Macaca mulatta: one gene and its partner. The protein of the gene in region 1 interacts with the protein of each later gene in a biochemical or structural test. Links are inferred from orthologs where the notes say so. Each region holds a gene or a part of one and is shown on either strand. Other genes may lie near its edges.

Region 1 (16,434 bases):
GCTAAGTCCTTGAAAATATTTTGTTCTAGTCAATTTAAGCAGTTTAGGTTGGTAGTTCTATGTGGAAACAGCCACGAAATAATTTTATATTATGATGACTAGACCAGTCTTTGAACATTACTTTGGTTATTGTTCCATTAGTAAATTACTGAAGGCAATCTCACTCTGTCGTCCAGTCTGGAGTGCAGCAGTGGTGTGATCTTGGCTCACTGCAACCTCTACCTTCTGGGTTCAAGCAGTTCTGGTCCCTTGGCCACCTGAGTAGTTGGAATCACAGGTGTGCACCACCAGGCCTGGCTAATATTTTTTGGCATTTCTAGTAGAGATGAGGTTTTGCCACATTGGCCAGGCTGTCCTCAAACTCCTGGCCTCAAGTGATGTCCGCCTTGGCCTCCCAAAGTGCTGGTATTACAAGCGTGAGCCGCTGTGCGTGGCCTGAAACTTATAATTCATTTCCATTAATATTAATCTCACCTTTTCCAGTAATTAATTGGTTTCACAGGTATTAGTCCCCTATAATCATTGAATGGCAAATGAAATTATTTATAGCAAATAAACAGATTAATTATCTGCCAGCAGGCTGAGATTAGTTTCTTTAAAAAATGTTTATTATTTAAAACATTCAGCTGTGATCTTGGCTTTCTTGTGAGGTTCAGTCGTTTCCATTGAATAAAGGAGATAAATGGCAAAGAATTTACTGCAGTGAAATTTGAATTCCGTTAACTTAATGTGTTCTCATCCAAATAATAGTACTTAGAACAACTATTACAGCTGCTGGACCCAGGAACACAAAGCAAAGGAAGATGAAATTGTGTGTACATTGATATTGGTACACACATCAAATGGTGCGATGTGAATTTAGGTGAAGATGTTAGAAAAAAATCAACTGTTTTCTTGTTCCATTCCAGGTGGCTGCTTCTTTGGTTGTGCTGTGGTTCCTTGGAAAGTGAGTATTCCATGTCCTATTGTGTAGATTGTGTTTTATTTCTGTTGATTAAATATTGTAAATCACTGTTTGTATGTATTGTAATCTACTTTGTTTCATTTCTCCCAAGCATTATGGTAGTGGAAAAATAAGGTTTTTTGTTTAAAGGATGACCATTAGTTGGGTAAGGTGACACATACCTGTAGTCCTAGCTCCTCCACAGACTGACGCAAGAGGATCACTTGAGCCCAGGAGCTCAGGGCTGTAGTGTTCTATCACTGTGAATAGCCACTGCACTCCAGCCTGGACAATATAGCAAGATCCTATATCTAAAATAAAATAAAATAAAATAAAATAAAATAAAATAAAATGAATAAATTGTGAGCATGTACAGTTCCTGCAGTTTCTAAAGAATATAGTTCTGTTCAGTTTCTGTGAAACACAATAAAAATATTTGAAATAACATTACACTTTTACAGTTTTCTTCAAATGTTTTAATTTAATAAAGAACAACTCAATCTCTGTCAATAATGAGAAAACATATCTATTTTCTTGCAATAATAGTAAGATTTTGAGATTAAGGGTGCACACTCTTCTAATGCAATATATTGTATTTCTTTAGACTCAAATTTAGTTCCATTTACATGTATTGGAAATTCAATTAGTAAGTTTGGCTGCCAAATAACAATTTCCCTTTTGCTTTACAGCACTCCTCCTCAAGACAAAGGGAATAGTACTTATAGTAGAAATAACAGCTATGCAGTGATTATCACCAGAACCAGTTCGTATTATGTGTTTTACATTTACGTGGGAGTAGCCGACACTTTGCTTGCTATGGGATTCTTCAGAGGTCTACCACTGGTGCATACTCTAATCACAGTGTCGAAAATTTTACACCACAAAATGTTACATTCTGTTCTTCAAGCACCTATGTCAACCCTCAACACGTTGAAAGCAGGTACTTTACTAGGACTAAGAAATGAAACTGCTGATCCACCATCAATAGGGCCTGTGGTTTCGTTGGTTTTCTAATGGCAGTGCTGGCTTTTGCACAGAGGCATCTGTCCTTTGTTGAACCTCCTTTTGACTAGCATGCACATTTCTCAGATATTATAGGTTATCATATGTTGTTGCTCCTAATATTTCTGTGTTAGATAATTAGAGTAGCTAGGTTTGTAAGAATGTGATGTTGGTGGGACTGTAGCAGCACAAGAAGGCCCTTATGGGTCAGTCATACCTCTCTTTTCAAATACTTGGTCTAGCTCTCTTCTGGGCATCTTGTTGCCAATATATAATATTGTTCAAAAGGGCAGGAAACTTAAAGTGATCAAAGAAAATATGTTTTTTTGTATTGATTAAGTCTTTTGATGGGGTAGAATAATCTAATTTCATGTAACTGCTCAAAGTTATATGGTAGAGGGGATCCCAAATGTATTTTAAAACTATTTTTGTATTATCATATTTGAAGTAATAGAAAGTCAGAGTAGTAAAATAAAGATACTAAAAATTTTAAAAACTAATAAGATACTTTGGAAGAAATCAATTCTGTTGATTCCTCATTAGACAAATTTGCACTGAAAGACTGAGGTTAATAAGGATTCCCCCAAGTTTTTTCACAGCAACCTGAGAGCACTTTCTCTGTTGAGGCATTTACTCTGTGATATGAAAAGATGAATAAGTCACAGTTCTTGCCCTGGAGGAGGTCACAGGTGAGAGGAGGAATTGACACAGAAACATTTGATATAAAGCAAGGAATAAATTCCAAGACTAAAATTTTCAGAAATCTAAAAACTCAAGATAAGAAAAACCCATCATATTTTCTGGATGACAAAATTTCAGTGTTATAGTATGTAGGAAGATCTTGATATTTATTCTGAAGCCCATGTGTCTTGCTGAAATCTTGCCTCATTTGGATATACTCATCACCATCCTCTGTTTTGGAGCTAAGAATTTTAGACTCAAGATGTCCAATTAATTGATCCATTGATTTTATTTTTTATGGAAATCTGAGACCCAGAGCAGGCAGGGGATTTCTCGCACATTTCTAGAAGAGTCAGACATGAGCCATGTGGCACAGTGGAAAGAACATGAGCATTGCCTGAGCTCTGAGTTGGCGCTATAAGAGCAGTGATCATGGGCAAGTGACTCTCCTGAGCCTTGGCCTCCTCACCTGTTAAGTGGGGAAAAGAATATTTCAGAGGATCTTTGTGAGAATGAAACAAGGCAATTTACTTGCCTGCTACATAGCCAGTGGGAAATCAATATAAGTTCCCCGTGGTTCCCTTCTGTGGGGTGTTGTTCCCACAGAGGGTGCACTGGCCATTCCACCTCTTCTTTTCCAAGCTCCTGTTTCCCTTTAATGCTGTTCATAGTTGGTTCCAAACCATTTGAAATATAATAAGCACCAGGATGGTTTTTTCTTTCCACCAAAGCAAATTTCATTTTCTAAACACTGTTTATAAATACCAATGGCTATTTTTTCAATTTTTGATTATCATGGAAAGATACAAATATATTTAATTAAATATGCCAAAGAATGTATTAATAAATATGTATTAAATAATTCCTACATATAAGGCCTTTTTTCTTGGGGCTATGGGTGATACAAAATAAGTGTGGCATGATCCCATTGACCTTTTGCAATTTATAACCTAGAAAAAGAGTTAAGATATGTTTATAAGTTCCTGTGATATAAGACATGCATATAGTCATTATAACAGAGGTGCAAACAAGATGTATTAAGTATATCCAGAGGAAGAGATTAATCCCAGCTGGAGAAAACACTGATGTTTTCTTGCAGCAGGGGCATTTGAGTTGAGCAAGGGAGGAAACAGATTTTGACAATGAGAGCTGAGGGGAAAGGGGTTTCAGATGGAGGGAACCACATGGGGAAAGCAGGGAGGTAGGAAAGTGTAGAGTGTGTTTAAAGAATAGACCAGTTTGGCTGAAACAGGATATTTGAGCAGAGGAAGCTTGTACTAAGTAGGTGGGTTGAGGCCAAATTATGCAAGGCATTAAATATTAAACTAGGAATTTTGGACTTTATCCTGCAGTTTATGGGGGGTAAATGATAAGATTCAATATCACTTTATTTGTACAGTATTATGTTACATTTTATCAAATTGTTTGTTTAATTCCTGTCTAGACAATGAATTTCTCAAGGACAAGGAGCATGGCTTATTCACCTCAGTTATTTCAGTGCCTAGTATTGTGCCTGGTACATAGTAGACACTTGTATATAACCTTTTTAAATTGAAGCAACAAGTTATCAACCTTACAAATGTGAATCCATGATTCAGATGACAGGTTGAAATGTAGATTGTCCATGAAGAGGGTAGAAAGAGAGTATGACAAGGGAGGACCAGACAGTGGGGCAGGCAGGGAGAGAGAGCAGCCAGGGTTTTGGTAGAGGTATGTCAAAAAGGTATGGAAGTCAGAGGAAAAGGAGACCCCTATGTTATGGAATACAAATGGAGGAGATGGTGACAGCGTATTGAGTAAGTTGTCATTAAATGCAAGGTTGCAAAAATAAGATTGTAATAGCAGGATGAATACCCACCTATTCCTAACATAATTTATAGTAAAATCTATTTCAAAGACATTGGTTGTTACTTGAATCTTACAGGAATCTGAAACTTTTTAAAACGTTTAAAAGTACAAGACAATAACTTGAACATATAATTATTTAGAATGTTTGGAAAGAAACAAAATTTTCTAAGTCTTTATCTGATTACATGCTAATTCTTATTTGGGTTATGAATGAGTCTACTGTGATCCAAATTTAGTATTGAATATATTGATATATCTTTTGAGGAATTTGTCATCTTGTATATTATAGGTGGGATTCTTAATAGATTCTCCAAAGATATAGCAATTTTGGATGATCTTCTGCCTCTTACCATATTTGACTTCATCCAGGTATGTAAAAATAAGTACTGTTAAGTATGTCTATTTGCCATGTTGTTTTTTAAATAATAACAAAAGCAAATGCAATTTCGTTTTCAATTTTTATTTGATTGAGAGTTGAAGTCCTGTCTATTGAATTAATTTTGTGATTATCCAAAGCCTTCAAAATAGACGTAAGTTTAGTAAATTCAATAACAAGTCAGAACTGTTTATCTGGCCCAGACCTGAGGCAATCCCACATTTAGATGTAATAGCTGTCTACTTGGGAGTGATTTGAGAGGCACAAAGGGCTATCTTTCCCCAGATCACTGGCCGCAAAGTGTGACATTTTGGCATTGGCATCGCTATTTTATGGAAGCCAACCTCCCCGCAAAAGGCCTGTATTAGAATGAAGATGGATTCCCTGGGTGGGTTACACTTGAAACTAGCCTCACCGTGAACATTTTAGCACAGAGTAGCTAGCCCATTCCCCCACAGTAAGGACCATAAGGAAGAGGGAGAAGCAAAGATAAGTTTTTGAACAAAAGAAAGGGGAAAGAAAAATCTAGGGTTTTATGAGGGCTGTCCCTGAGTGATAGATGTGAATAGGCCTCCAGGGAAGCCTGGCTCAAAGGCTGACTCTTTGGGTTGGGGTGACTGACTGGTGGTGAGAGTGGAGAAGAAAAGGGCAGTGGAGGAGGTGAAAGTGACCTTGGGACATCAGGTCTCCATACGTGACAGGATTTAAGGAGTGTTGTAAGCTGTGGTTGTTGGACCAGGTTTGAGCACAGCTTCCTGAGCTTCCTGACTGGTTTAGGTCAAGCTCCAGAGAGCAAATACCACAGTCTCAGTGATCTCCCTGGAGAAACAGTTGGAATAGGATGCTGCCCATGTTGGGATGAGTCATTGTCCCCTCTTGCTCTTTCCCCACCCCTGCAAAATAATAATACTGTATTTGATTGAACATATAAAACAAAAGAAGTATTATCACGTAAGTGTGTATATATAACCAACATTGGCAGGTGCAGAAAAATCAGACTGTCAGTTAGCCTCATCTGAAATGATTGACACAAGTATATTTACTGTTCCAAGTGAACTTTGGCATTTTGGATATCCTTCAGTTGTTCTGTTTAAAGATATAACTTAGAAGCAGCTGATGGAATATTTAAATCCATACTTTGAATTCATGCATTCAAAGAAACATGTCCTGTGTCACTAAATGCTGACATTTGTTTTTCATGTTAAGAGTGTAAATAACTTGTCCCAAATATAATATTATTACATCAGATAAAAATTGGAATGTGAACCTCTTGACTTGATTTTGAAAGTATTTGCCAATGGTGCCTCTTGATAATTATTTGAGGCTCATTTCAGAACTCCTCTGTAAGAGTTAATTTTTAAATATTCATTTTATAAATTACCATTTTTGACATACGTGATGGCTCTCAAATTTTTTCTTTTATGCCAATTTGAATCACTTCTGCTCAACGTGTTTGTTTTTTGTTTGTTTGTTTTTAAATTGAGACGGAGTCTCACTCTGTCGCCCAGGCTGGAGTGCAGTGGTGCAATCTTGGCTCAATGCAACCTCCGCCTCCTGGGTTCAAGCAATTCTCTTGTGTCAGCCTCCAGAGTAGCTGGGATTACAGGTGCCCACCACCATGCCTGGCTAATTTTTGTATTATTTCACCACATTGGCCAGGCTGGTCTTCAACTCCTGACCTCAAGTGAGCCACCTGCCTCAGCCTCGTAAAGTGCTGGAATTACAGGTGTTAGCCACTGCACCTGGCCCGGTTCAACTTTTAATGCTAAGATTCATTTGTTGTTGTTTCACAGATGATTAAGCAGAGGTCTTTTATATTAATTTACCTAATTTATTTGTAAGAGAGTCTCATATTAAGAGAGCATAATATACGACAATCCAAATACAGTACAAATTTGGTTAATTTTGATTTTGTTAAATGATTAATCACAGGGGTCCTTTAAATTGTGAACTCCTCTGATTATACTTAATTGTGTTATACCTCTAGTTATACTTAGTTTCAGACAAATAAAATTTAATTCTATTCATGACATTTCAGAAGCAGATCTGTTGCACAAAATAAAGCATACCTATAAGTTTTCTTTTTAAAAAATATTTCTGTTCACTCTATTTTCTATTACTTTTCTCTTTTAAAATTTTTAATTTTATTGTGGCAAGTCCACTTAACATGAGGTTTACCCTCTTAACAGATTTTTATGTGTAAAATACAATATTGTTCACCATGGGCAAAATGTTGCATGGCAGATCTCTGGAACTTACTCATTTTGCACTACTGAAATTTTATACCTGTTGATTAGTAACTCCCCATTTCCCTCTATCCCCTGTCCTGTTGCCCATGGTTCTGTTCTTTGCTTCTTTGAGTTTGAGTATTTTGATATCTCATATAATCTTCATTCTATTTTCTAACTTTTGACAATGTTCTGACAAATTTGCTTTCTGGATTGGAGCACTGTATAGTGAAAATTGAAAATCGGGGTTATTTTCCACAGATTCCCACTATTTTACCCTGAGCAGACACTTATCTTGAAGGGTCTCAGGTTTGTCACTTGTAGAATGGGGAATATAAACCTAATAATGGTCCCTTTCAGTTCTAAAGTTATATCAGTTGAAAATGCATGTGTCACTTATGGAAACTGGTAGAGAACTGCCTCACTGAATAGCATATGGATGTTATAAAGTGTTTATTTTTTTTCCTTTCTGCTGACAGTTACTTTATTTATACTTTATTCAAATGGGTTTTTGTGAAGTAAGTGTTGGCAGACTTTGTACCTTTTAAAAATGTATGTATTTGGTGTAATGTACAAATATGGAATTTATTAAGTATGATTTATTTCAATGTTAAGCATGAGAAAATATGCTCCAAAAGGTTAGATAGCTTGCCTAAATGACAAGCTTGTATTTCAAGCAGAACTTTCTGAATCAAAAGACTCCAAGATGAACGCCCAACTTTCAAAAACTGTCTAACCAAAATAAATCCTAAGATTTACCTTCATACTAAAATTATTTAAAAAGTTTATGTTAAATTAATATTCACTTAAAATGTATTTATCATACAATACTTTAAAGTGCCTGGGAAATGAAAATATCCCAAGATCAAAGAACACCATGTTTTCAAAACTTCAAAAATGTTATCAGTGACATGAACAATTTTTAAAATTTTCATAGAGCCTATGAAAAATGTACTTGCAAATGGTTACTTTCCGACTAGGAATAGAATGGGGAGAGTATTTAGAAATAAATCACTGACACACTTTGTCCACTTTGCAATGTGAAAACGTTTACTCACAAACATGTTTTCTTCGATCTCACAGTTGTTATTAATTGTGATTGGAGCTATAGCAGTTGTCGCGGTTTTACAACCCTACATCTTTGTTGCAACAGTGCCAGTGATAGTGGCTTTTATTATGTTGAGAGCATATTTTCTCCAAACCTCACAGCAACTCAAACAACTGGAATCTGAAGGTATGACAGTGAATGTGTGATACTCATCTTGGAAAAAAGCTACAAGAGCTATTTGAGATTCTTTATTGTTAATCTACTTTTCAAAAAAAATTCTGTTTTTAAACTTTCACATCATATAACAATAATTTTTTTCTACATGTATGTGTCTATAAAAGGAAACTGTATTACAAAGTACACATGGATTGTTTTTCTTAATTAACGGCCATGTGACTTCATTTTGGTTTTAAAATGGGTATATAGAATCTTACCACAGTTGGTGTACAGGACATTCATTTATAATAAACTTATATCAATTAAATTAAAAAATGATAGTGCTGCTATTACTAAAGGTTTCTCTGGGTTCCCAAATGATACTTGACCAAATTTGTCCCTTTGACTTTTTGTCTTCGGACACCCTTCCTTCATGTATTGGAGCTGCCATTTCATGTTCCCCCAAACTCTACTTGAGCTGTTAGGGAATCACATTTTGCAGTGACAGCCTTAGTGTTGGTACATTTTCAGGCAATAATTTTTCAGTGTATTTCTGCTTTGTAGGTTATTAGCTAAATCAAGTCACATAAACTTCCTTAATGTAGATACTTGAAAAAATTGTCTTAACATTTTTTTCAGTGATAATTAATTTAGAATTAGCCAGAAAATTCCCAGTGGTAGCCAAGAAAAAGGAATAAATGTTGGTGGTGATTTTTTAAGTTCCCATCTCTAGTAGCCAAGTAAAAAAGGAGAGTAGCTCATTAATAAAATAACAAATCACATCTATTCAAAGAATGGCACCAGTGTGAAAAAATCTTTTTAACCAATGACATTTGCGATATGATTACTCTAATTTAGTCTTTTTCAGGTACATGGTGTTATGAAATTGCATTCTGTGTTTATGTTATTTGCAATGTTTTCTATGGAAATATTTCACAGGCAGGAGTCCAATTTTCACTCATCTTGTTACAAGCTTAAAAGGACTATGGACACTTCGTGCCTTCGGACGGCAGCCTTACTTTGAAACTCTGTTCCACAAAGCTCTGAATTTACATACTGCCAACTGGTTCTTGTACCTATCAACACTGCGCTGGTTCCAAATGAGAATAGAAATGATTTTTGTCATCTTCTTCATTGCTGTTACCTTCATTTCCATTTTAACAACAGGTACTATGAACTGATTAATTTTAGCTAAGCATTTAGTAAAAACTTTGTCAATGAATAAAATGCTGCATTCTTATAGGTTATCAATTTTTGGTATCTTTAGAGTTTTTTTGGAGTTTAATAATTAACAAATTTGTTGGTTTATCATTGAACAAATGATTTCTTTGAATTTCCATTGTTTTATTGTTGAACAAATAATTTACTTGAAGTTGGATATATATGGTATTATCCCTGTTTTCACAGTTTTAAAAACCAAGGCACGCAGATTGTCAGATAGCAATTCTGTGATTGAAGGGGAAAAAATGTCACCTCTTCATACTCATATTGATGAAGAGTCCTAGCTTCAAAATTAATAGATCCCTAAAGAAGGGAAATGAAGCATCTGCATTCACACACACACACACACACACACACAGTTCCCCTTGTCGGTAAGTTTTGTTTCTTAAATCTCCACTAGGTAAAATTTGTTATCTAATTGCAAATTTTGCACAAAGTAAAACTGTCACAGAAAAGAAAGGAAGACTCATGTTTTTCAAAAGAAAAAAAAAAAAAAGAAAGTGCCATGTGTTTTAAACACAAATGTTCTGGATTGATTTTAGGATCTTTAGTGAAAAACAAAGTATTTCATAATAAGTAAAATAAAAATGTATGTAGGTAAATTTGTTTTCTCTAATTTAAGAATTTGAATTTCTGAGTATTTATGATAAGTATTGAAGTAAGTTGTTATATGTGACAGTGAATATTGGCAGAGTAAATGCCAAATCAATGCCAAATCTGGGAGATCATTTGATTGTAGGAACAGAATTCTGCTCAAACCAGAAGCAGGCATTTGTTGGAGTTACAGGAAGGCCTCAAGGAACAACGAGAAGGTGGTGCCATTTGACTCTTAAAGAAGCTGGAACAGGCACAAGAGAGTCAGCTGCAACTCTTCTTCTTCTTGAGTCTATATCTGTCCTGGGTCCATGCCTTTCTGTGACTGCTTCATTCCTTTCTCTCTCTGAAGACTGGTTTTCCTGGTGTACCAGGGCTATGCCACACTGACTTTATGTAGTGTCTCTGTTCTGGCCTCCTGAATTAACTGGCTTTCCTGGTGTACCAGAACTATGCCACATTGACTTTATGTAGTGTCTCCATTCTGGCCTCCTGAATCAACTGGTTTTCCTGGTGTATCAGGGCTATGCCACATTGACTTTATGTAGTGTCTCCATTCTGGCCTCCTGAATTAACTGGCTTTCCTGGTGAACCAGGGCTATGCAACATTGACTTTATGTAGTGTCTCCATTCTGGCCTCCTGAATTAACAGGAGAGCTCCTCTGTACAATTGCAAAGTCCTGGAGAGAACAGAAAACAGGTTCCTTTTGGCTCAGGGGTCCACCTGCAGTCTACTCCACTGCTATGAGGATAGTGGGTTCGCCACCTTTGTTGTTCTCACAGCTAGGGCAGTGGGAAATGACTCTATGAAGGAATATACATGGGCAGGCAAATGTACTAATCCTCATCAGTACTGCAATTTTAGGCAACTTTAAAAAATTCTTTTAAGTTATTTGAAAATGGGATCAAAGAAGGCTGAATTACATAAATGAAGATTTGTTAACAATTAATTCAAACCAATATAACACATGCTATACCATGGTTGAGTGTGATTGAGTCTTGATTTATTAGGGGCAATAATCAAAACATTTAACAATCATTATAGTACAGAACTTACCCATCAAATCAGATGGTCAGCCAGAGTGGATGTTGGTCACCCAGCTATTATTATCCCTGGCTCGACTGGTCTTCAGCTGTGTTAACTTGAAAATGTTAATTAGCTCTCTAAGCCCCTCATTTTCCTCAAGTGTAAATAGACACAATAATATTACCTATTACATAGGTGTGGGTGAATAGTAAATGGGATGATTTGTCCAAAACACTTAGTATAGTGCCTGGTCCATGGTAAATACTAAATAAATGTTATCTGACTTATTATTATTAAAATTTTATCTTCTCATCTTAACCTTCAGAACAAGCAATATATTGGGGTCTAGATAAATCTAACCTATATGAAAATAATTTAGTATTACCTACAGATATATGCTCTGTATATTATGCCTTCTGTTAGAGGAATTGCAGAAACAAAAATTTCAATTAATAATAAGAGAAATTATTTCTCCCAACTGTAGAACCTTTTGACAATTTTATCATGCATTACAGGTGTAAGATCTCTTGATTGGGACTTGATAGTTTAACTTTATAATAATTTAAGAACATTCCTCTTAGAGAATTTTTATGGCCATAATACTGAATACTTACGAGTTTTAATTAGCGGTCCTTTTTAGCCCTTAAAAAAAATGTATTGTAATTAAACACTTAAGTATCATTCTTCCCAGGTGCACTAATCTTTTTTTTTTCTTTTTTTATTTTTTTTTACATAGAGGGTATTATTTTCTCTTTCCAAATGGCAGACCTGTTAGTTTTCTGACTGTGGGGTGAAGTTCTAAGTCCATTTACTTCCCAACAGTATGCAATTAACAAATGTCCTCCTTGCAAAGGCGCAGATCTAAACATCTAAGCATGCAGATGCTGTTTGGACACACTATTCCCCTGCTTTTGGTTTCTTTGTATAGGAGCTCATCTGGATACAGGATATTTTCCCATTGCCCATTCTAATATTTGTTCTCTTATTACTTAGAGAATAATAGTAGAAGAGACAAATATGGTACCTACCCAATACCAACAGCACCTCCAACATCAGTAACATTTTTTAAAAAGGGCAACACTTTCCTAATATTCTATCACTCTTTGATTTAAAATCCTGGTTGAATACTTACTATATGCAGAACATTATTCTATTAGTAAATGCTGTGATGAACTGAGACTTAAAAATTGTTAAAATCAGCATAAAATTGAAATGTAAATTTAATAACATGAGTTTCATTTATGTCTTTTGTGCATCTATAGGAGAAGGAGAAGGAACAGTTGGTATTATCCTGACTTTAGCCATGAATATCATGAGTACATTGCAGTGGGCTGTAAACTCCAGCATAGATGTGGATAGCTTGGTAAGTCATTATCATCTTTTTAACTTTAATGAAAAAAATTCAGACAAGTAAAAAAGTATGAGTAATAGCATGAGGAAGAACTATATACCCTATATTGAGCTTAAGAAATAAAACATTACAGATAAATTGAGGGTCACTGTGTATCTTTCATTAAATCCTTATCTCTTCTTTCCTCCTCATGGATAGCGACTATAAAGATCTAATACTGCAGTGAGCATTCTTTCATCTGTTTCCTTGTTCAGGATTTTCTAGGACCAATACCTGGGAGTTGTACTACTGGGTCATAGAATTCACCCATGCTTAACTGAGTGGTGCCAAATTGTCCTCAGGTCTGTTGTACTGACATATATCCCCATCAAGAGAGTGCAAGAGTTCTCATAGCTACATATCTTCAACAACACTTGGTGTCTGATAGATGTGAAGTGATTGCTAAAAATGTAGGGCATCTGGATACATAATTATTGGCTTTTGCTGTTCTCTTACATTAATTTCTTATTCATGTTGATTACTCATTTGTCACCTAGATTGTTTTTTCTTCCTTAATTAATTTGTAGGAATTTATGAGTTATGGATTGTCAGTTCTATACATTTCAACCATAATCCCTCAGTTAGTGGCTTGGCTTATAGAGTCTTTTGATGAAAAGAAGATTTTAAGTTTAATAAAGTTCAATTTATTGTCTTTTCCTTTATGTTTTATGCTTTTGATATCTTTATTAAGAATTCCTTCCTTATCTTGAGCTCTCAAATTTAGCAGCATAACATTTTTATACTATTATTTAAATATTGCCACACATTTGTATACTGTATTAGTGTGTACAAAGACCACATTTTAGTTGTGTTATTTCTCTCATTTTGGTTTTCTAGAGTGCAGAGCCATTAATATTATAGTAATGTTTGTGTGCTAATACCATATCAGGGGCACAAATCCCATTGCAGCAGGACTGAGAAATTAAAGGAAATGATGCACATTTACCCATTTTTATTAAAAAAACCAAATGCATAATTTTCAATCAGACTATGTGGTTGGTCTGGATAGCTTCATCATTGAATTTTTAAAGTATTTTTATGCTACTGTATTTAAAATTATTCATTCAGCACTGCTTTTGTAGATGGCTTAGAAACCCAAGTTAAGAATGACTGTGCAACACTATTATTATACTCTTTTTAAAATTATGCTTTTTGCTTAAGTGTCTTTCCTTGTTCTCTGAGACAGTGTTCGTGTTCCCAAACCACACACAGTTATTTAGCTATAAAATTTGTATGATCAACTCCTGTCAGAACAAAGAGCATTATAAAAAATATCTCCAGGGAAAAGAAAACCCTTTTAATGCTCTCTTCTGGTCCATGTGTCTTCTTCTTTTCTTTAAGCATTTTCATAACACATTGAGCTGTAATTTAATCGGAACATGATTTATACTAAAGTTGGTTTCTTTACCTCTAACTTTTTTTTTTTAGTTTGATCAGCTCTTTTTAGCTTCTGTAGTTCTGTCTTTAATTCCATTCCAGCATGCTTTTGGAGTTGGGTCTCATAAATGTATAGAAATATTTCTGTTGGAAAACAGCAGGAGAATATTAAATGAATATTGTGCTTACATCTATTTAATTCTTTGCCCAACCTTCTACAACTTTGACTTTATATTTAAGCTCCTCATGCACTTACATGTTTCTTTACCTAAAAACATCTTTTTACCATGGATGTATACAATTCCTTTCTCTTTGCTGTATTAATTTTCTTGGTTTACATAGTAGCCTCTACACATTGATGTCAAAACCTCTGTTTGGTGCATTTCTACTCTGCATGTTCAATCTCCATGAAAGTTTCTGTAAGGCATTTTCATTCCTCTGGTTTTTCACATGTGCATCCTGGCTTTGTGACCTGTGCTTTGATATTGTGCCTTTCATCTTGTGGCACTGAAGGATCTTTGCAAGGACCTATTATGTTATAATACAGTCTATGAAAAGTATCAGTATTTGCACTTGATCACATTTTAAAAATCACATTCTTTTGTTTGAATATCAAAGCTAATATGTGAGTTATTTCCCTGCCAAATAGCACAAGTAGGCTTTCCTGGATGTTTATGGGCATTAATCTGGTTATTGATTCCCATCATACTGCTGTTACCCATGCCATTGCTAAACGTATACAGTAACTTTTTTGTTTTCACCTTGGCATATGTTGAGAGTAGGAAATAGATATGACTGTGCCTTCAAATTTTACGTTTGTATGATGTTAATCCCAAAGGTCCTTGTGACTTCTGAAGTAAAAACTCAGTGTTGTCATTTTACTTACTGAGTTGTTAACTGAATTTAGCGTTGAGTTTACAATGGAGTAAACAAGGTGTTTAGTTTGATGTATACTTCTACTTTTTCAGAAAAAAATGTTTATACTTGGAAAGAATAGTTTATTTACCCAACTGGCCTAGTTTAGACAACAACACAAAGTCAAATGTCAACATAACTCTGAAGTTATAAAAATGACAGTGTGGCTTTTTTTTTTTTTAACCTTCCACCTGGTGCTTAGGCCCAAGTGCCTAGCTTTCTGTAGCGCTCAACTAATAAAGGTAATGCTTTGATAACATTTAACCTCGAGTTGCATTGTGTCTGTGATCACATATCTCAAATATTGGTACACAAAACTGTACAACAACCTTTTTTATTAGATTTTCCTACTAAATTCCTTATTATATTCCCTAAGATAGCTTTTTCCCACCTTCTTCTCCCATCTCAAGTGCTCCAATAATTCCAACTCCTGCACTTTCAGCCAGTGACTTTATTATATCTTTTTAAAAAAAAAAAAACTTAAAAAAAATTTTTGATGCAACCAGAAAGAATTTTCTCGTTTCTCTCCACTGGTTGCACCAGCCTACTGCACCTCTCCTCATGCACCACCTTCTGCTGGTGTTCTTGCTCCTATATTCAGGAGCAAGTAATATGCAATACCTCCCTCTTCGTGGGACCTTTCTCATTAGCATAAAAATACTTTCCCTTGATCTCCAGCTACTATCCCGTTTCTTTGACCTATATATAGCAAAATATCTGAGAAAGGACAACTTTCCATCTTTTCCTCAACCTACTTCCATTTTTTTCTCAATCCACTTTCATTTCATTGTTTTCCTCAACCCATTCTTTCCACAACCTACTTCATTTTATTTCCATCAGCACCATAACTCAGGATCAACATCTTGTCAGAGCCAATTTCCTTGTCTCCCTTAACAGCTCCAGCAGTATTTATGCCATGGACAAGTTCTTCTTGTGATACTTTCTCTCTTGCTTCCATGACACTTCTCTTGCTTCATTTTCCTTCTACCTCTCTGGCTCCTCCTTGGTCCCTTTTCCTGGCCCCTTCTCTCAGCCCTGTTCTACTGACACTCTCTAGCTGTTATTTTCTAAACCCATGCTTCAGAAACCATCTCTTGATGAATCTTGGAAGGCCGAGGCAGGTGGATCACTTGAGGTCAAGAGTTTGAGACCAGCCTGGCCAACATGGTGAAACCCCATTTCTCCTAAAAATAACAAAAATTACCTGGCCATGGTGGCATGCACCCAGCTACTAGAGAGGCTGAGGCACGAGAATTGCTTGAACCTGGGAGATGGAGGTTGCAGTGAGCCGAGATCGCGCCACTGCACTCTGGCCTGGGCGATAGAGGAGACTCCATCACACAGACACACACAAAGAAAATAAACCATCTCTTGATGAATCATAAATTCGTATCTCTAGTTTAGACCTCTACCCTGCTCTCTAAATGTGTATCCAGCTCTCATCTTGACACCACCATATGTTCATAAAACACAATTACAGAATGTCTTTCAGTAGGCTTGACATTTTAAGGCATGAGTTTCTGTTCAGTATCTCCTTAAAATATACCCAGGGTCTCAGGAGACTATTAAAACAAGACAAAGCTTCTATTCTACTTACTAATGTGTCTGGCCTTATTTGGCAGGTTGGA
Region 2 (16,870 bases), on another chromosome or scaffold:
TTTTTAGTAGAGACGGGGTTTCACCGTGTTCGCCAGGATGGTCTCGATCTCCTGACCTAGTGATCCGCCCGTCTCAGCCTCCCAAAGTGCTGGGATTACAGGCTTGAGCCACCGCGCCCGGCCTAATTTTTGTATTTTTAGTAGAGACAGGGTTTCACCATGTTGGCCAGACTGGTCTTGAACTCCTGACCTCAGGTGATCCACCCACCTCAGCCTCCCAAAGTGCGGGATTACAGGAGTGAGCCACCACGCCCGGCCTAGGCTGTTTGTTTGTCACACATAGAAACAAACTTAGTTTGAGACCAGCCTGGACAACATGGTGAAACCCCATTTCTACTAAAAATACAAAAATTAGCTGGGTGTGGTGGCACGTGTCTGTAATCCCAGCTACTTGGGAGGCTGAGGCAGGAGAATCTCTTGAGCCCAGGAAGTGGAGGTTGCAGTGAGCCGAGATCGCGCCACTGTACTCCAGTCTAGGTAACACAGCGATACTCTGTCTCAAAAAAAAAAAGAAAGAAAAGAAACAGGCTCGTGCAGCCCACTCCTTCTCACACCATCACCTCTGATAGGAGGTCACAGCTGCTGCTGAGGCCACCCCGCCTTGAGGATGTGCCTGCTGGACCTGAGTTGCAACGAGAGGATGCAGTCTCCCGAGGGGATTCAGAAAGCCCCCAGTTATTGAAAACCCACAAGAATTGTCAGCCCCACACCCCCAAGCCCTCTTGGAGGGAGGGCTGCCCTGGCAGAGCACTGAGCCCATCTGTTTATTCACAATCCTGTGGATTCAGCTTCACAGGGTGACATATTCTGTCACAGGTTAGTGTTGGAGAAGGGGTACTATCACCTCTATGAAAGGAACCTCACATGTAAACATGAAACATAGCCAGGTGCAGTGGTGCACACCTGTAGTCACAGCTCTCAGGAGGCCAAGGCAGGAGAATCACTTGAGCCCAAGAGTTAAAGACTGCAGTGAGCTAGGATCACACCACTGCACTCCAGCCTGGGTGACATAGCAAGACCCTGTCTCTAAACAAATAAAAAATCAAAAAGTGAAAAAAAACCCAGACGTTAAAGGTGGTGCCACAAAACAATGTCATGGTTTGTTGCCAGAGGAATGACCCTTCTTCCCTTTCACTACCATTGCAGGGATGGGGGAAGATATCACAAACCCCCAACATTTATTTCTTTGTCAGATATTTGAGTACCTGCTGTGTGCCAGGCAGTGTGTTAGAATCTGAGGAAACTACAGGCTTCTGCCCTTTCTGATCTAGTCGGAGCTCCTCTCCCAGAAGGAAACTGCTGCTTCCTGCAGTTTCAGCACAAAAATATCGATGTAACCATATAAGGAAAAATTACGGCAAATGCCTGGAAAGGAGCCCCAGATGCCATGAAAGTGTGTAGTGGGGGAACTGGTTTGAGGGGTCAGGAGAGTCTCTTTGTGGAAGGGCATGTCATCTGACCCTTGTAGCATTAGCCAAGGGAAGAAGTTGGGGGGAAATGCCCCAGGAAGGGGCAGCACCCTGGAGGATTTTTTTATTTTTCTCTGAGACAGGGTCTTGCTCTGTTGCCCAGGCTGGAGTTCAGTGGTGTGATCTCAGCTCACTGCATCCCCGACCTCCAGTGCTGAAGGGACTACAGGCACATGCCACCATGCCTGGCTAATTTTTTTTTTTATTAAAAAATTTTTTTGCCGGGTGCAGTGGCTCACGCCTATAATCCCAGCACTTTGGGAGGCCGAGGTGGGTAGATCACGAGGTCAGGAGGTCGAGACCATCCTGGCTAACACGGTGAAACCCCGTCTCCACTAAAAATACAAAAACTTAGCTGGGCATGGTGGCGGGCGCCTGTAGTCCCAGCTGCTCAGGAGGCTGAGTTAGGAGAATGGCGTGAACCCAGGAGGCAGAGCTTGCAGTGAGCAGAGATTGCGCCACTGCACTCCAGCCTGGGCGACAGAGCGAAACTCTGTCTCAAAAAAAAAAATTTTTTTTCGATAGAGATAGTGTCTGGCTATATTGGCCAGGCTGGTCTAGAACTCCCGGGCTCAAGTGATCCTCCTGCTTCGACCTCCCTAAGTGCTGGGATTACAGGCATGAGCCACTGCACCGGGCCTATGGAGGCTTTGAAGGAGGAAAGACCTTGGCACTGTGTTTTTTTTTTGTTTGGTTTTTTTGTTGTTGTTGTTTTTTGTTTTTTTTTGTTTTTTTTGTTTTTTTTGTTGAGACGGAGTCTCACTCTGTCACCCAGGCTGGAGTGCAGTGGCGCGATCTCGGCTCACTGCAAGCTCCGCCTCCCGGGTTTACGCCATTCTCCTGCCTCAGCCTCCCGAGTAGCTGGGACTACAGGCGCCGCCACCACGCCCGGCTAGTTTTTTGTATTTTTTATTAGAGATGGGGTTTCACCGTGTTAGCCAGGATGGTCTTGATCTCCTGACCTCATGATCCGCCCGTCTCGGCCTCCCAAAGTGCTGGGATTACAGGCTTGAGCCACCGCGCCCGGCCTGACCTTGGCACTGTTAAGATGAAAAAAGCCAAAAAGGCAGGAGCATAGTGAGTGGGGCCAAGAGGCTTGTGATGAAGGCATTGTAGTTGGCAGGGCCCAGATCACACAAGACCTTAAAGCAGTAGGAGCTGCATCAATCGTAGCTGCTGAGACAACAATGATGTTGAAGATGGTGATGTATTTGTGACACCTAGCCTGGTCCCAAACTAAGTGTGTAATACATGCTAATTCCTTCTTACCACCTCCTGGGTTTGAAAATGTATCAGGGTGTTTGGGAAAGAGAAAGAAGTTCCTAATGTCTGCAGCACATGAGACAGGTGTTGAGATATGACCCTGGGAAAGTCAAATTAGGGCCAAATTATTAAAAGTTTTGGGCCGGGTGCAGTGGCTTATGCCTATAATCCTAGCACTTTGGGGGCCTAGGCTAGGGAGCCCAGGAGTTCAAGACCAGCTTAGGTGACACAGCAAGACCCCATCTCTAGTTTTAAAAATCATTTCATATTCCAGGCTAAATGTTTGGAGTTTGCCACATAGGCAGTGGAAGGTGTCGCAGCAGGGGAGTAGCATGATCAGACAAATTATGCTAAGTTCACGGGGAGACCACAGGGCTGGAGCAGTCACAGGGGTGTACCTTAAGCTGAGCCTTGAAGGCTGAACAGGCATGTGGAAGGCCACAGTGACCCTCCCCTGCTTCTTTTTCAGGTGGTTCCACGAGTGTTTGGGCGCATGGTGGGTAAAAGCCGGGAGGCGGTGGCCCAGGCCATGGTGCTGGAGATGTTCCGAGAGGAGGACTATTACAATGATGATGTTCTGGACCAGATGGGCGCCAGTATCCTAGGCGTGGAGGGCCCCCGGCGCCACCCAGATGAGCCTCCTGAGGATGAAGTCTTCGAGCTCTTCCCCATATTCATGGGGGGGCTTCTCTCTGCCCACAACCGAGCTGTGCTAGCTCAGCTTGGCTGCCCCATCAAGAACCTGGATGCCCTGGAGAATGCCCAGGCCATCAAGAAGAAGCTGGGCAAGCTGGGCCGGCAGGTGCTACCCCCGTCGGAGCTCCTTGACCACCTCTTCTTCCACTACGAGTTCCAGAACCAGCGCTTCTCCGCCGAGGTGCTCAGCTCCCTTCGTCAGCTCAACTTGGCAGGTGTGCGTATGACACCCGTCAAGTGCACAGTGGTGGCATCTGTGCTGGGCAGCGGAAGGCATGCCCTGGATGAGGTGAATTTGGCCTCCTGCCAGCTAGACCCTGCTGGGCTGCGCACACTCATGCCTGTCTTACTGCGTGCCCGGAAACTGGGGTAAGGACCTATCCTCATGCACAGGCATGAAGAGGGTTGGAGGTGAAGCAGTGGGAAGAGAAAGTGCCAGGGAAACCAGAGGTACTGATGAATGACCAGATGAAGAAATCTAGTTTGGGCGGAGGAGACAGGAGCAGCAGAAGGGAGGAGCCAGCCCTGGTGGCTCCTGCTTGTAATCCCACTGCTTTGGGAAGACAAGGCAGAAGCATCACTTGAGCCTAGTAGTTTGAGACCATCCTGGGCAACATAGCAAGACCCTGTCTCTACAAAAGAATTTAAAAATTAGTCAGGTGTGGTGGCATGTGGCTATCATCCCAGCTACTCAGGAGGCTGAGATGGGAGGATTGCTTGAGCCCAGGTGTCTGAGGCTGCAGTGAGTTGTGATCATGCCATTGTGCTCCAACCTGGGTGACAGAGTGAGACCCTGTCTCTCAAAAAAGGGGAGGCAGGTATGGATTCCCAGAGGCAGGCTGATGAAAAAAGGTCATGGTAGATGGACAGACTGCTTGCTGAATTCCCTCCCTGGTCTCTCACCTCCCCTCTGGCCACCTTCTGCTCCAGCTTGCAACTCAACAGCCTGGGCCCTGAGGCCTGCAAGGACCTCCGAGACCTGCTGCTACATGACCAGTGCCAAATTACCACACTGCGGTGAGTGCCCTGGGAGTGGGGCATCCTGGTGGCCAGCTAAGGTCAAGGGTGAGTTCCCTGCCTCCTGGCATACTTGGCACAGGCCCGTCCAAGGGATAGTAAATGGAGGTGGGTCTAGGCCCTGACTGGTCCCCTCCACTTCCCCTAGGTCTACTGCAAGCAGCGGGGCAGCAGGGAAAGATGCCACCTGTAATGGGTGCTAAGAAACCTCTCACGTGGCTAAAAACAGCCTGGGGGAGGCAGGGAGAGAGGGTGGAATAATACCTAGGCCAGTTGCCTGGTAACAGTGCCACTGATCCCCTTCCAGGATTTTTCCTGCAGCTTCCTGAGGATGACCCTAATGCTGGGCACTCAGTAGACACCCCTGAAGTGTTGACTGATACATGGGGAACCCGAGCACCTGGGTTCCGAGTTTCTGGTTGGTGTAAGGGGAGGCAAATGAGGAGAGAAAAAGGAAGAACAGGGAGAAGGATACAGGAGTCAGAGGGAAGGGAGAAGCAGAGGCTGTGGAGGGGGTGAAAAAGGCAGAAGAAGGGAAACAGAAATGGTGAGGAGGAAGGGAATAGATAAGAAGGGGGTCGGGGGAAGAGGGAAGGAAAGGCCAGCTCCCCTACTCTCCCTCCTCTGCCAGGCACCACACCCCCTATTGCTCTACCCTTTCTCCTGGGCCTGCATTTCTATGTCCAGGCTCCTCTTGCCCCAAGCAGGGCCCTCTTTGGCCCACGTCCTGACACCCAGCACAGCGCGCTGCCCCATCAAGGCTGCCAGCACCACCAGCAACCTTGCCTCCCCCTCCTCTCAATGGGCCCTCATAACCTTGGGTTGCACGTGGCCGTAGGCTGTCCAACAACCCGCTGATGGCGGCAGGTGTTGCCCTGCTGATGGAGGGGCTGGCAGGAAACACCTCAGTGACACACCTGTCCCTGCTGCACACCGGCCTTGGGGACGAAGGTCTGGAGCTGCTGGCTGCCCAGCTGGATCGCAACCGGCAGCTGCAGGAGCTGAACGTGGCTTACAATGGTGCTGGTGACACAGCGGCCCTGGCCCTGGCCAGAGCTGCCCGGGAGCACCCTTCCCTGGAACTGCTGCAGTGAGTCCTGTCCCTGGTCCCATTGCCCCCAGCCCTTCAGACTACTTCCATCTCTCGACTGTGCTCTTCCAATCCTAGGGAGTGCTTCTGGGCCTGGGCCTGTCACCTGTCCTCTATTCCTGGTTTCTGACTGATCCTTGTCAACCTAGCTCTGAGTCAACCCACCCGCTCTGTGACTGGCCCTTAAACTGCCCCAGTTCCCTACCACCATTTCTCCTAAAGGCCTACTGTCCCTGGTCCCACTGAATTCTAGTATCAGGATCAGGTGCGGTGGCTCATGTCTGTAATCCCAGCACTTTGGGAGGCCGAGGCAGGCGCATCGCCTGAGGTCAGGAGTTCAAGACCAGCCTGGTCAACATGGTGAAACCCTGTCTCTACTAAACATACAAAAATTATCTGGGCATGTTGGTGCGCACCTGTAATCCCAGCTGCTTGGGAGGCTGAGGCAGGAGAATCGCTTGAACCCGGGAGGTGGAGGTTGCGGTAAGCCGAGATCATGCCACTGCACTCCAGCCTGGGTGACAGAGCGAGACTCTGTCTCAAAAAAAAAAAAAAAAAAAAAGAATTTTAATATTAGTCCCTGCTTCCCACTGGCCAGCACCCTCCATCTCTGGCTCATTGCAGATACTTACCTGATCGCACTCTGCAGCCAGGAGATGAGATGTGAGGCCCCCTGCTTTCCATCTGTCTACCCTCGGGCCCTCCTTCTCAGAGCTCTACTGAATGGCATCGACTTTCTCTCTCCTGCCAGCCTCTACTTCAATGAGCTGAGCTCAGAGGGCCGCCAGGTCTTGCGAGACTTGGGGGGTGCTGCTGAAGGTGGTGCCCGGGTGGTGGTGTCACTGACAGAGGGGACGGCGGTGTCGGAATACTGGTCAGTGATCCTCAGCGAAGTCCAGCGGAACCTCAACAGCTGGGACCGGGCCCGGGTCCAGCGACACCTTGAGCTCCTCCTGCGGGATCTGGAAGATAGCCGGGGTGCTACCCTTAATCCTTGGCGCAAGGCCCAGCTGCTGCGAGTGGAGGGCGAGGTGAGGGGCCTCCTAGAGCAGCTGGGAGGCTCTGGAAGCTGAGACACTGGCGGCAGGCACCTAACTATGTGACCACTGGCCCTAAACCTCTTCCCTCTGTGGCCTCCTGGCTTGCACTGCTCCCCCTAGAAAGATTCCTTCAGGTCTGGGGGCAAAGGAATGGGCACAGCTGTGCCAGTTGCCCTCCTAGGGCATGTTCGATCAGGACCGAGTCTGGAATCTCCAAGTTAAAGATGGTGAATCAATGCTTCGGGCTTGGAGATGGAACATGCCTCCTCTCCATTCATCAAGAAGGACCAAAGCATGTGGCATTTGGATGGCCAGAGTGCCCTGAAGCACCACCACCAACCTTGCCTCCCCCTCCTCTCAAGGAGCCTCTGATTGTGCCACCAAGGGGCTCACATCTTATGTCTGCCATGCCAGGGGTGTTGCCATCCAGATGTGTTGGAAACTTCCCCTCATGACTTATGCTCACCTGTGGACACTGAGGGTGCCCTCGCATTGGTGCTTTCTCCTCATCCTCATGCCCCCTTTGCCACAGTGGTACGATGGCTTGGTGGCCCCGCGAGGCAGATGCACCTGACTTGCTGCTATTAAAAAGCTGTGTGCCTTCCACCGATTGTGACCTCTTCTTTATTGCCTGGTGCTTCCAGGACGGGCACTCTTCTTGGTCTTTCTGGTTAAACTACCAACCATGATCTATTGCACGTGGTTCTTGGGCACTAGGTTCAGAGGCAGTGGAGGCTGGAGGGGCCCATGAACAAGATACTGGCATGGGGTTTGGCCATGCTGGACTGTATTATTCCGATCTCACACTGCTAATGAAGACATACACAAGACGGGGTAAGTAATTTATAAAGGAGGCTGGGCATGGTGGCTCACGCCCATAATCCCAGCACTTTGGGAGGCTGAGGTGGGCGGATCACCTGAGGTCAGGAGTTTGAGACCAGCCTGACCAACATGGAGAAACCTTGTCTCTACTAAAAATACAAAATTAGCTGGGTGTGGTGGCGCATGCCTGTAATCCCTGCTACTCGAGAGGCTAAAGCAAGAGAATCGCTTGAACCCAGGAGGTGGAGGTCGCAGTGAGCTGAGATAGCGCCACTGCACTCCAGCCTGGGAAACAAGAGTGAAACTCTGTCAAAAAAAAAAAAAAAATTATAAAGGAAAGAGGTTTAATTGACTCACAGTTCCACATGGCTGGGGAGGCCTCACAATTGTGGCAGAAGGCACATGAGGAGCAAAGTCACATCTTACATGGCAGCAGGCAAGAGAGTGTGTGCTGGGGAACTCCCCTTTATAAAACCATCAGATCTCATGAGACTTATTCACTCTCATGAAAACAGCACAGGAAAACCTGCCCCTGTGATTCAATTACCTCCCACCGGGTACCTCCCATGACACGAGGGAGTTATGGGAGCTGCAATTCAAGATGAGATTTGGGTAGGGACACAGCCAAACCATACCATGGGCCATAGAATTCTTATCACCCTTTTCACACTTACCCCCCAGGCTTGGAGTTAGTGACCAGCAATATGCCTTTCTCTGCACAGAGGGGCAACGGGGTCAGATTCAGGGTCTCCAGAAAAATCTCGGGCCCAGGATAGAGTCAGTATGAACTCACACTTTCCCAGAGAATAAGACTAAGCGGGGCATGGTGGCTCACGCCTGTAATCCCAGCACTTTGGGAGGCCGAGGCGGGCAGATCACCTGAGGTTGGGAGTTTGAGACCAGCCTGACAAATACGGAGAAACCCCATCTCTATTAAAAATACAAAATTAGCAGGGTGTGGTGGCACATGCCTGTAATCCCAGCTACTGAGGAGGCTGAGGCAGGAGAATTGCTTGAACCTGGGAGGCAGAGGTTGTGATGAGCCAAGATTGTGCCATTGCACTCCAGCTTGGGCAACAAGAGCTAATCTCTGTCTCAAAAAAAAAAAAAAAAAAAAAAAAAAGACTCTCACTGCCGTTAACCATTACCCCACTGCTTCCACAGCGTCTTCAAGGAGGCGGGACCTGGGAGGGGATGGGTGGGAGGGTCAGCGGCTGGATGAACCTTGTCCCTACCCCAGCACTGGGTTGCTGATCCGGCTATGGAGAAAGCTGCAGGTAGGAGGCCAGGAGAAATCCTCTGCAGGGGACTTTGGGACAGGCAGGGGGCCGACTTGGAGGCTGAAGCTTTGGGACCAGGGCACACTTGATTTTGGGGCTTGGAGCCCTGAGGCAGGTAAACAAGTCAGGAGAAAAGTAGTGAGTTGATATGTCTGTCTTTCTGGTCCACACCCTGTACTGATATGCTCAGATTTATGTGCCAAGGACTTGGGGGGAGGGGAAGGGAGAGGACCGCACAATATTCCTGTGCGTATGGCAGTGAGAAGAGAAGACCCTTTTGGAGCAGAATGGAGGGGGCATGCCCTGAGTTTGGGGGTTCCCCTGAGTCCTTTTAGTTTATGCCAATGGAAGAGGCACATCTGGGGAGAAGAATGTGACTCTCCTCCTCTCACCCACTTCTTTGCCCAGTAGATCTGCAGGACGCAGCCTCGTTAACTCTGTAAGTGCCATGAGGGTTGGGGCAAGGGGAAGAAAGAATCGGAGGCAGGGAAGCGCTTCACTGCCATTAGCACCTAAAGGAGATCCTGGGACCCAAGTCCAGCTGCCAGCTTGTACCTGCTTCCCCTGCCTCCTTGCAGGAAGTTTAAGTTTAACCCAAAGCTGGGCATTGATAATCCTGTCCTCTCACTGGCCGAAGACCACGACCCCTCTGGTAACTCCCTCACCCACTGACAACCATTCCCTTTCCCTGGAGGCACCACAACTCCACACAGCCTCCCATCTCCTTGGTAACCACTCACTCAGTCTCCCTCTGATAACAGCCTTGGTTGGGAGTAGAGATAGGAGGGGCCAGGCGTATTCTCCTGTCCCAGTCCCTCTGCCCATGAAGTGTTCACCCCACCACCCAACACCCAACCAGGCAGAAACTGCTTGTATCAGGACACAGGGTCTGCCAGGCACATGGTGAACCTGTACTTGGGCTGTGCCCTCTCCTCCCCCTTTTCTGCTGCCCACCTCACCCTCCAGATCCCTGGAGCCTGGAGCGGCCTCGCTTCTGCTTGCTGAGCAAAGAGAAGGGCAAGAGTTTTGGCTTCCACCTGCAGCAGGAGCTGGGCAGGGCTGGGCATGTGGTGTGCAGGGTGGACCCAGGCACCTCTGCCCAGCGCCAGGGTCTTCAGGAAGGAGACAGGATCCTGGCGGTGAACAACGATGTTGTGGAACACGAAGACTACGCGGTGGTAAGGCTGTGGTCCGGGAGAGCATGCTAGCACCTCAGAAAGAGAAGCGGGTTGCTCAGTCCCCTGGGCACTATGGCAGCAAGGCACAAGCCTCACTCCCCTACACCCCAGGATTTAGGAGTGCCCAAGTCAGAGGGGTTGGGGAAAGCATCTAGAAAGCTGATTCCCACTGGGCGCAGTGGCTCATGCCTGTAATCCCAGCACTTTGGGAGGCCGAGGCGGGTGGATCACCCAAGGTCAGGAGTTCAAGGCCAGCCTGGGCAACATGGCAAGACCTTGTCTCTACTAAAAATACAGCAATTAGCTGAGCGTGGTGGTGGCGCCTGTACTCGCAGCTACTCGGGAGGCTGAGGCAGGAGAATCACTTGAACCTGGGAGGCGGAGGTTGCAGTGAGCCGAGATTGTGCCATTGCACTCCAGCCTGGGCAACAAGAGCAAAACTCCATCTCAAAAAAAAAAAAAAAAAGAAAAGAAAAGAAAAGAAAGAAAAAAAGCCTATTCCCATGGCAAAAAAATGTGGATTCCAGGGAGGTCCTGGGGGTTGGCAAGAGGGTCTAGACCAAACCCACGCCCACGTGCCCTCTGTCCAGGTGGTACGCCGCATCCGGGCCAGCGGTCCTCGGGTGTTGCTGACAGTCTTGGCACGGCATGCACATGACGTGGCCCGAGCCCAGCTGGGAGAAGATGCCCACCTCTGTCCCACCCTAGGCCCAGGGGTCCGGCCTCGGCTGTGCCACATAGTGAAAGATGAGGGTGGTTTTGGCTTCGGCGTCACCCATGGTGAGCCCAGAGGGTGCGAGGGGGTGGCAAGGATGAGGGATTTCAGTCCCTGTTCAGGGCAGGCAGGCAACAGACTGGAACTTTTTTTTTTTTTTTTTTTTTTGATTTCTAGGCAATCAGGGTCCTTTCTGGTTGGTGCTAAGTACTGGAGGAGCAGCTGAGCGGGCAGGGGTGCCCCCCGGGGCCCGACTGCTGGAAGTGAATGGGGTCAGTGTGGAGAAGCTCACTCACAACCAACTCACCAGGAAGGTGTGGCTGCCTGTCTCCCACTCTCCTCCCCCAGTCTGGGCCTGGGCCCCACCTCGGGAAGACGCCTCCTCCCCTATGCACCTAACCTCCTTATCTGGTCTCCTACCTTGATCACCATCCTGCCCCTCTACAGTTTGTGCCAGGCTCCACTTAGTGCCTGGGAGGAGGGGCTGTGGGGGGAGCATGCCTCTTCTCTCCCTGCCCAGGTGTTATACTGATGCCCTGCTGGGTCCCCACAGCTTTGGCAGAGTGGACAGCAGGTGACCTTGCTGGTGGCAGGGCCAGAGGTGGAGGAACAGTGTCGCCAGCTGGGATTGCCCCTGGCTGCACCCCTGGCAGAGGGCTGGGCACTGCCCAACAAGCCCCGCTGTCTGCACCTAGAGAAAGGGCCCCAGGGTTTTGGGTTCCTGCTCCGGGAGGAAAAGGGCCCTGACGGTCGCCCTGGTGAGTAGGAGCCCTGGGGGTGGTGGGGGAAGGTGGGCCTTGGGGTGGGCACACAAGTGTATATACACCTTTCAGTGCACAGAAGAGGTGTCCCTGTCTGAGCTCTGGCCCTGGGCCGCCTCTTCCTGTTCACTCCGGGGTCAGTCCCCTGGTGTGCACACAGTGGCCTAGGATAGCTGGAGGGGAGCAGTGAGGATGTGTATGCCCCAGGACAGTTCCTGTGGGAAGTGGACCCGGGACTGCCAGCCAAGAAGGCTGGGATGCAGGCTGGGGACCGGCTGGTGGCTGTGGCTGGGGAGAGCGTGGAGGGGCTGGGCCATGAGGAGACAGTGTCCAGGATCCAGGCGCAGGGCTCCTGTGTCTCCCTCATTGTCGTCGACCCTGAGGCTGACCGCTTCTTCAGCATGGTGCGTGCTGAGGGGCAGGGGCTAGGGTTGGGGCAGGAGTGGAGCAGGGCTTGGGTCCAACAGATTTGCTCTACCTGCCACCTTCCAGGTTCGCCTATCCCCACTCCTCTTCTTGGAGAACACAGAGGCTCCCGCCTCTCCCCAGGGCAGCAGCTCAGCCTCACTGGTTGAGACAGAGGTCCCTTCGCTTGAAGACACAGGCGTGCCTTCTGTCCCTCTGGGCTCCCGACAGTGCTTTCTGTACCCTGGGCCTGGTGGCGGCTATGGCTTCCGACTCAGCTGTGTGGCCAGTGGGCCTCGTCTCTTCATCTCCCAGGTGACTGATGCCCCATGCATCTTGGATCCCTTCAATCCTTTGCTGCCTGATCAGTCTTCCTCTTCTTCCCTCCCAGAGCCTTAAGCCAGCAAACTTTCCCCTGGTGTCCCCTGTTCTGCATGCCCCCACACCACCAGGTGACTCCCGGAGGCTCAGCTGCCCGGGCTGGGCTGCAAGTGGGAGATGTGATTCTGGAAGTGAATGGGTATCCTGTTGGGGGAGAGAATGACCTGGAGAGGCTTCAGCAGCTGCCTGAGGCTGAGCCACCCCTCTGCCTGAAGCTGGCAGCCAGGTCTCTGCGGGGCTTGGAAGCCTGGATTCCCACTGGGGCTGCAGAGGTGAGGAAGAAGAAACGGATGGGACTGTGAGTAGTTACAGAGGGCAGGGAGGAGTGAGAAAGAAGGGCAGAGTGGGCGAGGTACAAGGTGAAGCAGTGTGGGGTATGCAGGTTGGGACTTCAGGTTGTGGTAGGTGGGGACAGAAGGACCCGTGAAATAAGCCCCATTCCTGGGCATTGCAGGGCAGGGGTGAGAAAGAAAAAGGAACTCTTCTGGGTGCCACCTGGAATGACCTTCTACCTCCTCTCTCTGCACAGGACTGGGCTCTGGCCTCGGATCTGCTGTAGAGCACCTCTGCTTGGTACAGACATACTCAGGGGCTACTGTGTCTTCACTCTCCAGCCCGAGGTGGTGGAGGCAGGATTGCTCTCTCTAAGCCAGACTGGAGGAACTCAGGCACCACCGATCACAGGCTGGCCCAGGTGCTCCCCCACTTCCTGCAGGCCCACCTTCTAGCAGAGGGTGTGGATGGAGGCCTCAGGCAGGTTCCTGAAGGAGTCTGAGGCTCCAGAGGATGTCATATGGGAGTTTGGAGAGCTGTGTCCCAGGGATGAAGGTGTGGCTGTGGGTCTGGCTAGGATTGAAGCCATCTGGACCTTTTCTAGATATGACTCCAGGACACTTGAGTGTAATGCAAAAATGTGGAGACCAGCTATGCCTGTCTTCTGTGGGTGCCTCAGCATTGCCGGAGGGTGGTGCTTGGTCACCGTTGCATTTGTTATAGAAGTGGCCGTTCCCCATAAATCTGACTGCCTGTGTTTGTGTTGGTGGGGGTAAGGGGCAGTGGTGTGAAGGGACCAAAAGGGCCTCAGGCTCAAGGGGTGGGATGCGGCTTCTGCAGGAGAAAAGGTGAGACCTGGTCAAATTTCTTTCCTATCACTGAGTCTCAGGGATAATGGGTCAACCCAGAACTGAGATGTCTGCATGAGAGCCACTCCTAAAAATAAACAAAACAAAAGAAAAAAACAACAAAAGAAGAAAACTAAATAAAAATAAAAATAAAAAAGATCCACTCCTCTCTGCCAAAAGGCCAGAGCCCACAGCTCTACTGAGTTCTACATCAAGACACTTTATTGCTGGCGCCTCAGAGAACACTAGAGACTAGGGGCTGATGGCCTCAAAGATCCAGGGCGGTGAGTCCAAACTGGCGTAGCTGCTCCTTGTGCCTGGCATGGAGTCTCAATGCCGTCCCATCCCACTGTGACTTGATGGCTCTCAGCTTGGCCAAGAGCCTGTCCAGACTGTCCTGCAGACATCAATATTTCAGCCCCCAGGAAGAGACAGGGAAGGAGTGAGGGCTGCCCCAGGTTGGTTTGTAAGCTTTCCTTGCCCAGTAGACATGGTTGTATCCCCTCTCTGCCCTCAGGATAGAGCGGGGCTCCCTTGGAGATACTTCTTCTCCTTACCCCTGGGTTGTCAGTCATCACACTAGCTGGGGTTTGTGGGCATGGGGGAGTCCTGGGTACTGGGATGACTGGGATCCAGGAGGTGGTGCTTACCTGTAAGATTTCCTCATACTTTGCCTCCATGTCTGCCACGTGGGTCCGAAGCTGAGACAGGGCCTGGTCCCGCTCTCTTAGAGCTTGTTCAGCCTCTTCCCGGGCAGCCGCAGCTTCCTTTTGGCATGCCTCTGGGGGCAGGCAGGATGAAAGACAGCAGGATGGTGACACTCTATCCTTGACCAGTCTCCAAAGGTATCTGGAAAGGAGACCTTGAATGGGCTCATTCCAGACTCCCCCAGCATCACCAACTTTCCTGCAGTCCCTGTAAAAGCTGAAGCTCCACTGAGGTGTAGCAGAGAATGGTGGGCTTGAGACAGAAGGCTCCAAAGTCGGATTACTACCTAGGTGACCACAGACATGTCTCTTTCTGAGCCTCAGTGTCTTCATCTTTTTATTTATTATTTATTTATTTAGATGGAGTCTCACTCTGTCACCAGACTGGAGTGCAGTGGCATGATCTCGGCTCACTGCAACCGCCGCCTCCTGGGTTCAAGCAATTCTCTTGCCTCAGCCTCCTGAGTAGCTGGGACTACAGGCACATGCCACCACGCCCAGCTAATTTTTTAATTTTTATTAGAGACAGGGTTTCACCATGTTGGCCAGGATGGTCCCTATCTCTTGACCTCGTGATCCGCCCACCTCAGCCTCCCAGAGTGCTGGGATTACAGGCGTGAGCCACCGCAGCTAGCTGGTGTCTTCATCTTTAAAGAGAGAATGACACATCTCTCAGGGGTATGCTGTGACCTTTAAACACGATGATGGATGACAAAGCACCTAGCTAGTATACAGGAAGTGCTCCGTAAACATTGATTCATTGGCCGGGTGTGATGGCTCACGCCTGTAATCCTAGCACTATGGGAGGCCGGGGAGGGCGGATTACCTGAGATCAGGAGTCCTGGCCAACATGGTGAAACTCCCATCTCTACTAAAAATACAAAAATTAGCCAGGCATGGTGGCACACATCTGTAATCCCAGCTACTCGGGAGGCTGAGGCAGGAGAATGGCTTGAATCTGGGAGGCAGAGGTTGCTGTCAGCCGAGATTGCGCCATTGCACTCCAGCCTGAGCAACCAGAACGAAACTGCGTCTCAAAAAAACAAAACAAAACAAAACAAAAACAAAAAACAACAACAACAACAAAAACAATTGAGTTATTGATTGACTTGGAATTTGAGGTAAAGCAAAGATTAGGAAAGGAACCCAGGGTCTGAATGGCAGATAAGCAGCTCCTGGCCATCTATAGCTAAACCAAAGGCTTTTTTTTTTTTTTTTGGTCGGAGTCTTACTCTGTCACCCAGGCTGGAGTGCAGTGGTGCGATCTCGGCTCACTGCAGCCTCCGCGTCCTGGATTCAAGTGATTCTTCTGACTCAGCTTCCCAAGTATCTGAGATTACAGGCACATGCCACCATGCCCGGCTAATTTTTGTAATTTTAGTAGAGACGGCATTTCACCATATTGGCCAGGCTGGTCTCGAACTCCTGGCCTCAAGCAATCCTCTCGCCTTGGCCTCCCAAAGTGCTGGGATTACAGGGGTGAGCCACTGAGCCCGGCTGAAGGCATTTTTAAGGTATGAACACTTTGGGACCAAAATTGTGCAAGAGCTCATGTGTCATGCTGAGATATTTCAACATTATTTTGTAAGCAGGAGGCAAGAGAAGAGAAGCAATGGCTTCCTAGTTTTTAAAAATATTTTTGCTTATTGGGAGTGTTTATTCATTTATTTAGTGAACAGTTATTTAGGACCTACCGGGTGCTAGGTCTTGTAAGTAAATAAGTCAAACATTTTCCCTTAGTTTCGTTGTAGAAATCAGCTAAACTAAAAGGGAATATGTTTTGCTCACAAGAGACATGGCAGTGGTGGGGAGTTAGGTAGGGCTGGACTTGGAGAGGAGGAAATGGGGTGTGACGCCTACCTCTTCTTTTTTATTTTTATTTATTTTTTTGAGACAGAGTTGCTCTGTCGCCCAGGCTGGAGTGCAATGGCGCGATCTCGGCTCACTGCAACCTCTGCCTCCCGGATTCAAGCAATTCTCCTGCCTCAGCCTCCCGAGTAGCTAGGATTACAGGTGTGCGCCACCACATCTGGCTAATTTTTATATTTTTAGTAGAGACAGGGTTTCGCCATTTGGCCAGGCTGTTCTCGAACTCCTGACCTCAGGCGATCCGCCCGCCTTGGCCTCCCATAGTGCTGGGATTACAGGCCTGAGCCACTGCGCCTGGCACCTCTTCTTTACTTACAACAGAGATTCTTGGCATCCCGAACCCTCTGCTCCAGTCCTCGATGGTGGAGGGTCAGTGAAAGTGGGGAAAGTGATCCCAGAGCCCGGGTGGCAGCTTTCTGGAGCAGAGACTTTGAAGTCTGCCCCTTCATGCTGGCCCTTGCTGCAACTCTTGGAGACAAGGGGCTTGGGGGGTGGGGAAACCTACCTAGCTGCCCCCGAAGGCCCTTGACTTCTTCCTCCAGCTGCTTGCTGCGGGATTGCATATCCTCCTGCAGGGCATGGCACTGGCGACTCATCTCTGGGGTGGGGGCAGTAGGCCGCCAGGGACCCAGGTCGGAGATGGAGCGATGGAGAAAGGAAATGAAGTTGTGGGTGGGGAAGACTCTACTTGGTCTAGTGGAACAGGAGCACAAAGGCCTTCTTGGTTCTTCTTTTTCTTTTTTTTTTTTTTTTTTTGAGACGGGGTCTCGCTCTGTCGCCCAGGCTGGAGTGCAGTGGTGCGATCTTGGCTCACTGCAAGCTCCGACTCCCGGGTTCACCCCCTTCTCCTGCCTCAGTCTCCCGAGTAGCTGGGACTACAGGCACCTGCCACCACACCCGGCTAATTTTTTGCATTTTTAGTAGAGACGGAGTTTCACCATGTTAGCCAGGATGGTCTCGATCTCCTGACCTCGTGATCCGCCCGCCTCGGCCTCCCAAAGTGCTGGGATTACAGGTGTGAGCCACCACTCCCGGCCCATGGTCTTCTTGGTTCTT

Evidence for each region.
Region 2: the proteins of CFTR (region 1) and NHERF4 form a complex in vitro, tested with the Homo sapiens proteins (2 studies listed by BioGRID and IntAct, with this or other methods). The link is inferred for Macaca mulatta from reciprocal best matches to the Homo sapiens genes CFTR and NHERF4.

What each region holds. Positions count from the first base shown.
Region 1 is NC_133408.1:157,139,351-157,155,784, forward strand, and holds part of CFTR (cystic fibrosis transmembrane conductance regulator), read left to right. Parts: intron 1-908; coding exon 909-946; intron 947-1,125; exon of another isoform or gene 1,126-1,254; intron 1,255-1,632; coding exon 1,633-1,883; intron 1,884-4,763; coding exon 4,764-4,843; intron 4,844-8,161; coding exon 8,162-8,312; intron 8,313-9,221; coding exon 9,222-9,449; intron 9,450-12,386; coding exon 12,387-12,487; intron 12,488-16,434. UniProt on the Homo sapiens protein: Epithelial ion channel that plays an important role in the regulation of epithelial ion and water transport and fluid homeostasis. Mediates the transport of chloride ions across the cell membrane.
Region 2 is NC_133419.1:119,866,480-119,883,349, forward strand, and holds NHERF4 (Na(+)/H(+) exchange regulatory cofactor NHE-RF4), read left to right. Parts: upstream 1-8,583; 5' UTR 8,584-8,658; coding exon 8,659-8,674; intron 8,675-9,085; coding exon 9,086-9,116; intron 9,117-9,255; coding exon 9,256-9,329; intron 9,330-9,643; coding exon 9,644-9,855; intron 9,856-10,445; coding exon 10,446-10,635; intron 10,636-10,747; coding exon 10,748-10,884; intron 10,885-11,123; coding exon 11,124-11,328; intron 11,329-11,538; coding exon 11,539-11,735; intron 11,736-11,823; coding exon 11,824-12,051; intron 12,052-12,188; coding exon 12,189-12,389; intron 12,390-12,646; coding exon 12,647-12,676; 3' UTR 12,677-13,133; downstream 13,134-16,870. Other genes in the region: NLRX1 (NLR family member X1), read left to right, coding at 3,202-3,797, 4,359-4,445, 5,284-5,535, 6,287-6,608; DRC12 (dynein regulatory complex protein 12), read right to left, coding at 13,484-13,630, 13,889-14,019, 16,320-16,412.